3 linked regions of the Coturnix japonica genome follow. The protein of the gene in region 1 purifies or fractionates together with the protein of each later gene. This does not show direct contact. Links are inferred from orthologs where the notes say so. Each region holds a gene or a part of one and is shown in the gene's direction. Other genes may lie near its edges.

Region 1 (3,650 bases):
AGGGCATCTTGGTGAGCAGCAGAAATACACTCTCTCTGGGGCACACTTCACTCTCAGTTGTGCGACTTGGGGCAGAATGCAAAGAGACCACGACTGGCAGAGCTGAGATTTCTTAGCTGAACAAAGAAAACAACATCTGGTCACTATTCCTAATGCAGTCCTTTTGTCACAGCAGGAGATGGCAACTTCATCTACTCTCAAGCTGACGAAAGCCAGAAAGGCAAAGTTGCCCGGCTGTTGAGCCCCGTCATTTACTCACAGAACTCAGCACACTGCATGACTTTCTGGTACCACATGTCTGGCCCACATGTTGGCACTCTGAAGATCAAGCTGAGGTACCAGAAGCCAGATGAATATGACCAGGTGCTGCTGACCCTGAACGGGCACCAGGCAGACTGTTGGAAGGAGGGCCGTGTTCTTCTGCACAAGTCTGTGAAACACTACCAGGTGAGCCTTGCTGGTCATGCCTTACATGCCTTAGCAGAAAATGTCACTGGAGGATTTGTGTAAACAGTGTTATACCTACAGATGAGTTGCTGTTGCTGTGACAGTAATAATAGTGGCATATTTCATACTATCGCAGATGACAGTGATACAAGCAATTTGTTATAGAAGGCCAAATAAATGCATTAGAAATCACTTCTCAGTTGTCAAAAAACTGCATCCTTGCCATACTTTTGCTACTGATGTAAAATGTTTCTGTGAAGTTTAGACATTATATGAATTCACATTTGTGCATATAAGTTCGTAAAGGCATATAGCGCTGATTGACAGGCCACAATCAAAGTGTGCGTAATGTGGCATCGTGACAACTGGAGAAGTGTGTTAACGGCTAATTAAGACTTCCTGAACTCTTCAATTGTGTGTTAACTTGAAAACAGTGTGAAAATTATCTTATTTTTCCAGGTGGTTATAGAGGGAGAAATTGGAAAAGGAAATGGAGGAATTGCTGTGGATGATATTAATATTGACAATCACATATCTCAAGAGGACTGCCAAAGTAAGTATGCATAGCATGGTTGTATAGAGATCTCATCCAGTACCTATATTTACTTAGATTTATTTAGATAGCTGATATTATGGGATTTTAGTTTTGGGTTTTTTTTTTTCTTTGTGAAAAGGATACATAATTATTGATGATATTGGAAGCTTAGCACTGAAAACGCCCTGATCTGGTCCATACTCTAATTGGTAGGCTGGCCTCAGTACTGCAGTGATGCAGTCTTCTGGATCACAGCTGGCATCCCCCTGACAGGTCACAGCACATTCACATCCTCACATCTCTCCTTATATTTTTTATTGCTGTACTCTTTGTATTTTTCTGCTTTTCATAATGCTCTTCCCTACCTTAATTATTGCTTAAAATTCTTCACTCATTTTAGATCACTTATCCTAGGATTTTTTAAGCATTTTATCAAACCAACATTGGATACCCAAGTATGGTTCAGTGGCCACAGCCCTGTCCTTTGCTGCCCTGCAGCAGAGTTTGCAATTACTCATTTACCATAGTTATCAGTTCCCTAGACACGTGTCACTGAGTAGTACTGGATCGTGGTCTGTTTTGCTTCCGAGCCAGGCTGATCTTGAGCCCCTGTTTCAGTCGTTTTTTTCTGGCCAGTCTGGAATTATTCCAGTCACAGCCAATCATATGTGCATTGCATACTGCACGTAATTTGGCAGCAGCAACCTCCAGATAAACACAAGCAACTAAATCCCGTCCTTCATGATAGAGATTGAGGTATGAGATTAAGAGAGAAAATAGAACAGAGAACCTTCAGCATCAGAAATGTAAACTTACTCCACTTGAGTTGGCAGCACAATGGAGAACAATGATAGAGGCTGTTCTCACCCTTTGTGGCTAACAGCCATTTGAGGATAACATGACAGGCTCCAACTACATGGTAATTTCATAGCTGAATAAGACTGAAACAGTCTCTTCATTGTGCAGTCCATCTCCTCGATTCATCCTGCAGCACAAGTAAACGTTACCAGGAAAGAGAGTCAGTGCACACTGCCTGATCCTCCTGCAGTATCTTCAGTGCCAAGCAAGATGCTGGGACCACAGTGATGGCGCTGATCTGACTGAAATGAGAGAGGAAAGTAACTTATTTCCTACCTCCTCATTTCAGATATGCAAACTGAAATCTCAAGAAATAAAGACAAATGGAGCTTCTATTTGAAACATCATAACAGAAATAATAACAATAATGATAGCCAGGTAAACTGTCCAACAGGAAAGGAGGAACAAAAATTCAACCCCAAACAGTAAGACTACAATTGGTGTTTGTATATTTCCTCCTTTCAGATATACAAACCAAATGGTGCGCAGAAATTTTAGCCTGTGTGAGCTAAAGCTTATTCAGCAGACCAAACACAAATGGTCTCGCTGCAGTTCTTGTGATTAACTGTGCCTTCACTGATGAAGTGTTGTGGAATTGGGCTCCAAAATTGTAAATACAATGAATGAGATGCTAATTTATCACACTGATTTCTCTTTTGTAGGCATGGAAAACCCCTGCTGATAACTCTAAAACTGTGCCAAGATTGGGTGGAGAGAAGTTTTTAAATCTTTCTTTTTTCTCCATTAATTTTCAGAGCCCGTCATAATGAACAGTTATGTCAAGCTGGCATAATGATGCTCTGACACAGAAAAATCTGCTATACCATTATTGTCAGCATGATAGTCAATCAGTGTTTGTAACCCTAATAATCAATGTCAATTCTCTTTGCTTCATTAGAATCAACTGATCTGGAGAACAGAATAGATGAAGAAGATCCAGAAAGTAATCAAACAGGTAAAAATTATGCTATTGTTACAAGGAAATGAATTACAATGTGTCTTTTCATGTGAATTTGTGTATTCTATTTCCTTATTTATGAATTGGTAATCTTAATTGCATATGGCACTAAGTTTTTTGTTGTTGTTGTTTATCTACAGCAGACACTTAGAAGGTTTACATTTATACTCAGGATTTCATAGTTTTATTCTTCTTTGCCTTACAATCTTGTGGATTTTCTATCCTATATAAAGATTTTAAAAATTCAAATTTTATGTATGTTTGTTACATTGTATACATATTTATGCACACACACACTATCGATCTCTAATATTTTTTATCCAGAAGGCATACCCACAGATGAAGAAAAAGCTATCACTGTATTTTATGTCTCATGCAGTGTCTAGGTAATTAGGCTCAAAACTCTTCAGGCTAATCATTTCTCAGACCTTGCAGAAAATGTCGTTTTATAACCAGTCTACCAAAGCATTATCGTTTTCAATGATGATAGCTGTAAATGGATCATTAAATGGATCATAATTGTCATATTGTTCTCATAGTGAAATACATTCGCATTTTTCAAGCAAAGAGCTTCTTTTTTTTCTTTTTGGCTACAGTCAACAAGATTGTCACTGGGTTTAGTGAAAGTGGAGTTCATACAGAAATACTCCTTTGCTTTGCTTGCAACAATTAGCAAGTTTCATAAGCTTAGCATGTCTCCTTAATAAATTGAGTTTAGGGAAAACATTGTGATATCCAGTGAATATTTTACATTAGGAGGCAGAGTGCTCTCCTGTGTCAGTTCTGTCACTATCCCCATTTCCACGTCCATTCCACGAAGCCAGTGAAGCAGAGACAGACTCAAACTGGCTA
Region 2 (3,750 bases), on another chromosome or scaffold:
TGGCTTATTCTGGCCCTTACTGGTGGGTGCTGGCAGCACTCCAGGTAGCTGCAGGTGCTCTGGTGGTGGCAGTAGCAGGCACTCGTGCTGGGACAGCGAGGAAGCCTCCGGGAAGCTCTGGCCACACCTCTCGCAGAAATACAACTCCACCACCTTGACCAGAACCTCTGCACAGAGCAAGGATGATCATGAGAAAGGGCTTTCACCAAGCCCAGAGCTTGGGACCAGTGGTTCAGTTCCAGCTCTGGACAAGAACAAAAATTATCTTGCATGAATTACAGCTTTGAAAACAACAGTCCTCCCTCTGCCCTGGGAATCCCATGCCACATAGTCCCACTGCAGAAGGAGAGTCATCATGCAGGTGACCACTCTGAGTGGGTCTGTCCCTTAGCACCTCTGAGGCAGAGTAATGCTGCTTGGCCTTCTCTCTAGCAGGACGCCCCACGGTGGACAGTGAGCTGGGTGATGCAGGAGGACGGAGATCTCCACCTGCATCCTCCAAAGGCTCAGAGCAACCCCAAAGCCTGGTTTCCTGGGCCAGTCCTCCCCACGTTGTGCCAGACTCACACTGAGCAGCAGCATCTGTTCACGATGCACACAGGGTCAGTGTGACATCCCCATGATGCTGACCAGAAGGCACAGTGCCCAGCTGACCCCCCCATCCCACTGCTCAGCACCGAATGCTCTGTGCCCTCCTCCCCACACCCTGTACCGGTGCCGCTGGCTGCGTTGCTCAGAGTCACGTTGCCAGCTACAGCCTCGATGAAGATCTCTACGTTGCTTCCTTCGGACGCAGCCCCTTCCCCAGGCAACGACGCCTCTGCCAGCACCAGCTCCTGCCTCACGGGCAGCGGGGCAGCCCCAGCAGTGGCAGTAGGGCTTCCCATTGCTCCTGCTACTCCCACTGCACCCGGGGAGGGCAGGAGCAGCTCAGAACACAGGGCCTCCATCTCCTCGCCTCCTGCACTCACTGCCCCTCACTCAGAGCCGGGTGCGGGGCAGGGGGGGGTTCCCTGGCTCTGGAAGAGAAGAACGAGATGGAATGATGAGGGATTTCAGAGGGTGAACCAAGGGCCTCAGCACCACCTGAGCCAGGGGCCTCACGCAGGGCCTGCAGCCGGGCAGAACACCTCATCCCCAGCCCAGGAGCAACGCAATGCACTCAGGCCTAGCCCCGACCCAGTGCCCCCAGTACGGCCCCTCCATTGACCCCAGTCCCACCTGCAGACCCGGCCCAGCGCATCTCGATGGTATCCGGCCGCACAGAGCGCCTCCCTACCGCCACTTCCGGTCCTCCAGCGGGTGAGTGGCCGGGAGCCGCCGGAAGAGGAAGTAACCATAGAGAGCGGCACGGCGGCGGGGAGAGCGGCGTGGAGGTGAGGGGCAACGGGCCGGGCCTGGCCTGGGCCTGGTCTTGGCCTGGTCTGTCTCGGCCTGTCTCGGGGTGAGGGTGCTGTGCTGTGGGGTAGGGCCCTCTGGGACACGGGTAGGGGCTGTATAGTACATTGCTTCATCACTCAGCCCACCTGCACTCTCTGCCCACACAGGTTGGCTGATGGACTGTGGAGATGCTGTGGGAAGAATCCCGTTAACGTCCCATTATGCCGTTTTCTGACTTTATCGCGGCGCTGAAGGACAACCCCTACTTTGGGGCTGGGTTTGGCCTTGTTGGAGTGGGCACGGCCATGGCGCTGGCTCGGAAAGGGGCTCAGGTTGGGTTGGTGGCTTTCAGGCGTCACTATATGATAACGTTGGAGGTGCCTAGTAAGGATAAGAGCTACCAGTGGCTGCTGAACTGGATCTCGCATCATGCCAAGCGTACGCAGCACCTGAGTGTTGAGACCTCGTACCTGCAGCATGAGAGCGGGCGCGTCAGCACCAAGTTTGACTTCGTGCCCAGCCCTGGAAACCATTTCATCTGGTAAGGAAAACCACAGGGAGAGGGAGAAGCAATCTGTGGATTCACCCTCATTTTGGCAAGGAAAGTCCAGTTTGGAGGGCTCCTAGAGGCAGAGGAGAGAATTCTACCTCTTTCTTGTGTCTGAATTAGGAGAGGAGATTGGGAGTAGTTTAGGGAGTTTGACTGCACACAAGGGCCATGAGTTCCCCTTACTGAGCCCAGGTCCCCACCGTACCTGCTTTGGGCACAGAGAGCAGCACCATCGCTGGCTGATCTGACTGAGAGGAGAAAGGCAGAGGCTGACACTCACACTTGGTGATGTGGCTTGTGGCTGGAGGTGGGTTCCATCCCTCACTCTGTTCTCTTGTTCCAGGTATCAGAACAAGTGGATTCGCATTGAGCGCAACCGGGAGAGGCAGATGGTTGACCTGAACACAGGAACCGCCTGGGAGTCTGTCACCTTCACAGCACTGGGCACCAACCGGGAGATCTTCTTCAACATCCTCCAGGAAGGTCTGTAGGCAGCTGTATATGGCCCTACTGGGAACAGCCCCCTTCCTGGTGGCACCTGGGATGTCATAAGAGAGCCTTTTCCCTGCCAGCCATTCCCTCTGCCTCTTTCTGCAGCCCGGGAGTTGGCTCTGCAGCAGCAGGAGGGGAGGACAATCATGTACACAGCCATTGGAACGGAGTGGAGGCAGTTTGGGTTCCCGCGCCGCCGCCGGCCTCTCAGCTCGGTGGTGCTGGAGACGGGTGTGTCAGAGAGGCTGGTTAAGGATGTGAAGGAGTTCATCGACAACCCCCAGTGGTACATCGAGAGAGGCAAGGCTCCAGCACGGTGTCCTCTGTGCTGTGTCCAATGCATCACCTTACCCCTGTCCACAGATAGCACAGCTGTGCTATGCGAAACCCCTCGTGTGTCTGAGTTCTTCAGCCTGGACACAGCGCAGTGCTCTCACCCCAACTGTGACCATGATGTACCCACTCGTTTTCAGCTCTTAACAAAGAGCCCTTAACATAGCCAAGCACAGGGGAGAAAGGAAGGGACAAGCATAATCAGGGGCCAAGCAGAGGCTGCTGCTTATATCCATCCCCGCAGCTTCTCAGCACCCTGCTGCTGTGCCTGCTGCAGCCCTGTCTCGTAGCAGTTTCCAGCCTTCTGTTCATCAGCCTCTCTCTCGGCTCTGAGGGAGAGGTCTCAGAGTAGCACAGCTGGTTCCTAAAAGGACACTGTCTTCCTAGGGATCCCATACAGAAGAGGCTACCTGCTATACGGTCCTCCTGGCTGTGGAAAAAGCAGCTTCATGTGAGTATTGCTAGCTGTGTGACAGCAGTTTTCCTGCCAGCTGCCTGCTCTGATGTGCAGCAGTGTCTGATGAGAAGATGTAGGTGGGCTTGGGTTTGAAATCCAGCAGTGAAGGAGTGGGCTGTGTCACCATTGTAGATCAGAGTGACAGCACTGTGTACAAGCTGGCCTGACACTAGGGCTCACATCCACTGTCCTTGCCTGATCCCCACTGGGGAAAATGTGCTCTCTTCTGCTACTGGACAGGGAGAGCCCGTTCTTCAGCTTCCGCTGCCTTCCTCTGCTCCAGGCTTTCTTCCTGTGATTCACAGCTGTGTTTTGTGTCCTTCCCAGTACAGCGCTGGCAGGGGAGCTGCAACACAGTATCTGCCTGCTGAGCCTCAGTGACCGCAGCCTCTCTGATGACCGACTCAATTACCTTATGAGTGTGGCACCACAGCAGAGCATCATCCTTCTGGAGGATGTGGATGCTGCCTTCGTCAGTCGGGACCTCGCTGCTGAGAGTGAGTGGTGATCTCTTCCTGGGCCAGGCATTGGGATATAT
Region 3 (3,750 bases), on another chromosome or scaffold:
ATGTGGAGCAGTCTTTGAATCAAAGCTGGAGGAGGAGAGGCAAGCATAGGGAAAACAGAGAATTTTAAAGAATATTTGGGGCTAATTAAAATCAACAGGAGACTGGCAGGACTTGGCATATCTAAACTCAAAGCTGGGAAATGGGATGAGTGATGCCTTGTATTGCCTTCAGCTTTGCACAAGTATGTGCAGGTTTCTCTTCTAACTCCATAGTGCCCAGAGTGTGTTTTTCTCCATTGGCTGTCAGGAACATAAATTGGAGCTATTTAACTGAGACAACATCCATTTTATCCCAGATCCACTTAGAGAGAAGGCTGTTGTGTTTGCTTTATTAGTACCTCCATGAAACTCCAGTTTTTCTATTTGTTATTTTTTGGTCTAATATTTTTTATGGATGTCATCCTGACCAAAGGGCTTCTTTTGGAGGAGAGCCTTCAGGAGAGATGCAGCCCTGCCTGTGCCGATCCCCATGGTTTAAGGGCGTCAGTCTGCTGAGTCTGCTGTTGTTGTCCTGGGTCCAGGCAGGGGTCCCAGAAGTTCAACCCAAAGAAAGAGACACATGTCTGTGTTCCAGGCTCCTCTGTTTATTATACTTCTGAGCAAAGCTTGCAGGAAGTGAAGCCCTCCAGTGTAACTGAGGAAAGGAGCTGTTTTTTCAAAGCTGTTTCTTAGAATTTGCTCAGAGATCAAGGCTGTCAGGAGCAGGAGGTCAGAAACTTGCCACTTGTTAGGCAGTTTGTCCTTTTCAATAAATGGATATTTTGAGGTTTGCATAATATGTTTTGACAGAAGGATTAATTTCTCTGTAGAGAGATAAAAGGATACTGATATCACTGTGCTGTTTTCAGCCCAGTTGTGGATAGTGGATGCAAAGCGATTGTTTTTGTTTTCTTTTCAGTCAGTACCGACAAGGTAGCAAAAGAAAAAGCCGACCCGTGAGTGTGAAAACGTTTGAAGATATCCCATTGGTGACCACTGTAAAAGTTGTTCAGGAGGTGAGACTGTTCTTTCAATGTCTTCTCCTTTTATTGATGTGTGTTATTTTTTTTTCTTATTTTTAATCCCCTTTCCATTTAATGCATTTTAACCACTTTTATAGGAAAACCAGACAGACAGTGGGATGGTTCTTGCATCTGAAGAGCTAAAGACTCTGGAAGAGCAAGATAAACAAGTCAAAATACCCTTCAGGTAAGGCTCAGGCTGCAAATAGGATTGAATATGGATTTTTTCTTGTAGTGATTCAGAGCACTGATAGGTTTGTAGATTTTGTTAAAATACAAAAACTTTTCTTACTGAATTCTTAAAACCACACAAAGAAAAGTTTTTCATTGTGTATCTGGCCATCTGCATTTTGTACCAAGAGAGGGAAGGTAGCACAACATAGAAGGGACTTGTATTTACCAGCTGCAAAAGCATCAACCACCCCTTGAAGGAACTGAGCCAGTAACACAACTGGGATGACAAAGAGCTCTTTTTTGTTATTCTTTCTTTCTTTCTTCTGAAACTAGCTCTTGAGTTTTCAGGATGTACCTGGGTGTATTTTCAGAGCATTGTACAGGGATTCAATTGTGCAGTTCACAGGAAATACAGTGGCATTCATCTGACTTATGCTTTCTGAGAGCTTCTCAGAGGAATTATTTCATACAAACAAAGGTGTATAGCAGTCATGATTGCACTGTGGCTGTACTGAACAAAACATACCCAGGTTTTATCTCCATTTCATCTACAGTTGCAATCTAACTCCCTACTATCATAAAATTAAATATTTTTCATTCATTAGGGTTAGTTAGGGCATATAAAAAGATTTCTCCTTGTAATCAAACACACATTTAAAAGGGCTCAAAGCCAGTTTTGTTGAATTCACTGTTTTGCTTTTGTTGTCGCTGTGATGTGAAGCAGTTACCCACAGGAGTCACCCACTTTGTCTTCCAGAAGACAAATCTGCTTCTCTCTGACTTGACCTATCTGTTATTTTTGCAGCACACTGGCGCCCAGCAAAAGCAATGAGTCTGTCATGTCCGAGGCATCCAACCAGACAAGTGGCTACCAGTCAGGGTACCACTCAGACGACATGGACAACATGGTCTGCTCCAGTGAAGACACAGAACTCTTGTGTGCCCAGGAGGCCTCCCCCACGCTGCCCCGTGCGCATGGCCTGGCATATGACAGCCCTGCGCCTCTTGCGTCCCTGCCACTCTAAGCCGAAACCAGTGGCTCCAGGTCCCCTGGGATGTGCCTTCCTTGCCTTGGCTGGTGGTATTCACATTTGGTGTGTGCAGAGACTGCGGCTGTGGGCCTAGGGAAAGACGTTTATTTTTTCAAGAAGAGGATACAGAAGCATCTTGCAGCCCCAAGGCAGTGCCAGGCTGTGAGGTGCATTCCTCCAAAGACTCTTGTGGCTGAGGATGGGAAGTCATGGCTGTGGTGTGTGAATGCAGTGCCAACTCTATGACAGAAGCAGTGTAATGGCCTTTAGGACCTCGGTGGCAGGCCGAGCCCAACACGGACAGTGGCATGGCGTTCAGCTCAACTGTTGCTAATTGTACGAAATAATGACACAGGCCTGCTCTTTTGTTTTTCCCGGCTGGACTCCAGGAAGGAAACGGCACAGCGCTGGCTTCTTGTTTCTCAGAGTTATCCCATGCCTGCACCTCCACAAACTATAAAAGGAACCTCCAGCTCAAGGCTCTGGCACTCACCAATAGCCTAAGGCTAAACATAGGCTGGGCTAAATATAGGTGGGAGAGGTGATCTCTGTCCTTTGTGGAGAAAAATGTTGCTGTACTAAACCCTGTGATCTCCATTTCCTTGGGGAAGATGTACTTGGTGAGATTCATTAGGAGAAACGGTGTGATGATGGAACATGGGTGCATGGGGCATGTTTGCCATGGTGATGTCTCTGCACACACCCTCCCCAGCCCCCTTAGTCCTTGCCAAGGTCCTGATCACCTGTGAGCTAGTCAGGAGTGCTGTGGAAAATTCTCCTCTGAGCTGCCACTGGGGCAGAGATAGAGAGGGAGGGTTCATTTACTTTGGGAGCATAGACAGCCCTTTGGTCTTGATGGGTTATCCGAAAGCCACTCTGCCTTCTCTTCTCATCCTTCTTCCCCAGGTGTAAGCCACATCTGTCACTGACAAACTCAAAGTTTGTTTGCACCAGCAGAGATTGTGATTTATGTAGTCGTGGGAATCTGTGACTGATTTCATGGCAGCTCCAATCTTCTCCAAGTGGTGAGACTGTAGTTGATGGACAACTTCTTACTGTGCTCTTGTAGTCCCAGAACACTATTGATAAACACAATGCAAACTGCAAGGTTTTAAAATGTAAAGCTATTTCTACTGAGTTCTTTTTTGTATTTTTATATTGTTGGGTTATTTTGTTTGTTTGTACTTACTATAAAGTCAGATGCTGGGAACCATGGATATAAGGCATATACAGTATTTATAGCCTACTTATGTAGAAATAAATGTAATATATTAAAATATAAATATATATATTATATAATGGATATTGTACTATTCACATTTTATATCAGTGTTCTGTAGCATCATGAGGGTCACAACATTTTTAATAGATAAAGCTTTTCATTTTATTATAAGAGACTGGAAACAGAGGTGGGGGGTACAGGTAAATTTTCTCTTGCCTGTATTTACTTATATCCTGACTACTGACAGGGAAACTTATCAAGTACTAGTTATCTTAAGTGCCACTTAACAAATCTAGATATTTCTGCCATTGTACAGGTCTAT

What was found.
Region 2: the proteins of NRP1 (region 1) and mitochondrial chaperone BCS1 purify together in Homo sapiens (affinity purification with mass spectrometry; 3 studies listed by BioGRID and IntAct, counting the BioPlex papers as one, with this or other methods). This does not show direct contact. The link is inferred for Coturnix japonica from reciprocal best matches to the Homo sapiens genes NRP1 and BCS1L.
Region 3: the proteins of NRP1 (region 1) and KDR purify together in Homo sapiens (affinity purification with western blotting; 7 studies listed by BioGRID and IntAct, with this or other methods). This does not show direct contact. The link is inferred for Coturnix japonica from reciprocal best matches to the Homo sapiens genes NRP1 and KDR.

What each region holds. Positions count from the first base shown.
Region 1 is NC_029517.1:12,662,174-12,665,823, forward strand, and holds part of NRP1 (neuropilin-1), read left to right. Parts: intron 1-172; coding exon 173-447; intron 448-906; coding exon 907-1,000; intron 1,001-2,738; coding exon 2,739-2,795; intron 2,796-3,650. UniProt on the Homo sapiens protein: Cell-surface receptor involved in the development of the cardiovascular system, in angiogenesis, in the formation of certain neuronal circuits and in organogenesis outside the nervous system. Mediates the chemorepulsant activity of semaphorins.
Region 2 is NC_029522.1:24,268,659-24,272,408, forward strand, and holds the start of mitochondrial chaperone BCS1, read left to right. Parts: upstream 1-1,266; 5' UTR 1,267-1,376; intron 1,377-1,420; exon of another isoform or gene 1,421-1,444; intron 1,445-1,547; 5' UTR 1,548-1,601; coding exon 1,602-1,921; intron 1,922-2,273; coding exon 2,274-2,413; intron 2,414-2,527; coding exon 2,528-2,722; intron 2,723-3,142; coding exon 3,143-3,206; intron 3,207-3,539; coding exon 3,540-3,709; intron 3,710-3,750. Other genes in the region: ZNF142 (zinc finger protein 142), read right to left, coding at 21-167, 713-950. UniProt on the Homo sapiens protein: Chaperone necessary for the incorporation of Rieske iron-sulfur protein UQCRFS1 into the mitochondrial respiratory chain complex III.
Region 3 is NC_029519.1:58,827,841-58,831,590, forward strand, and holds the end of KDR (vascular endothelial growth factor receptor 2), read left to right. Parts: intron 1-898; coding exon 899-995; intron 996-1,099; coding exon 1,100-1,188; intron 1,189-1,980; coding exon 1,981-2,200; 3' UTR 2,201-3,511; downstream 3,512-3,750. UniProt on the Homo sapiens protein: Tyrosine-protein kinase that acts as a cell-surface receptor for VEGFA, VEGFC and VEGFD. Plays an essential role in the regulation of angiogenesis, vascular development, vascular permeability, and embryonic hematopoiesis.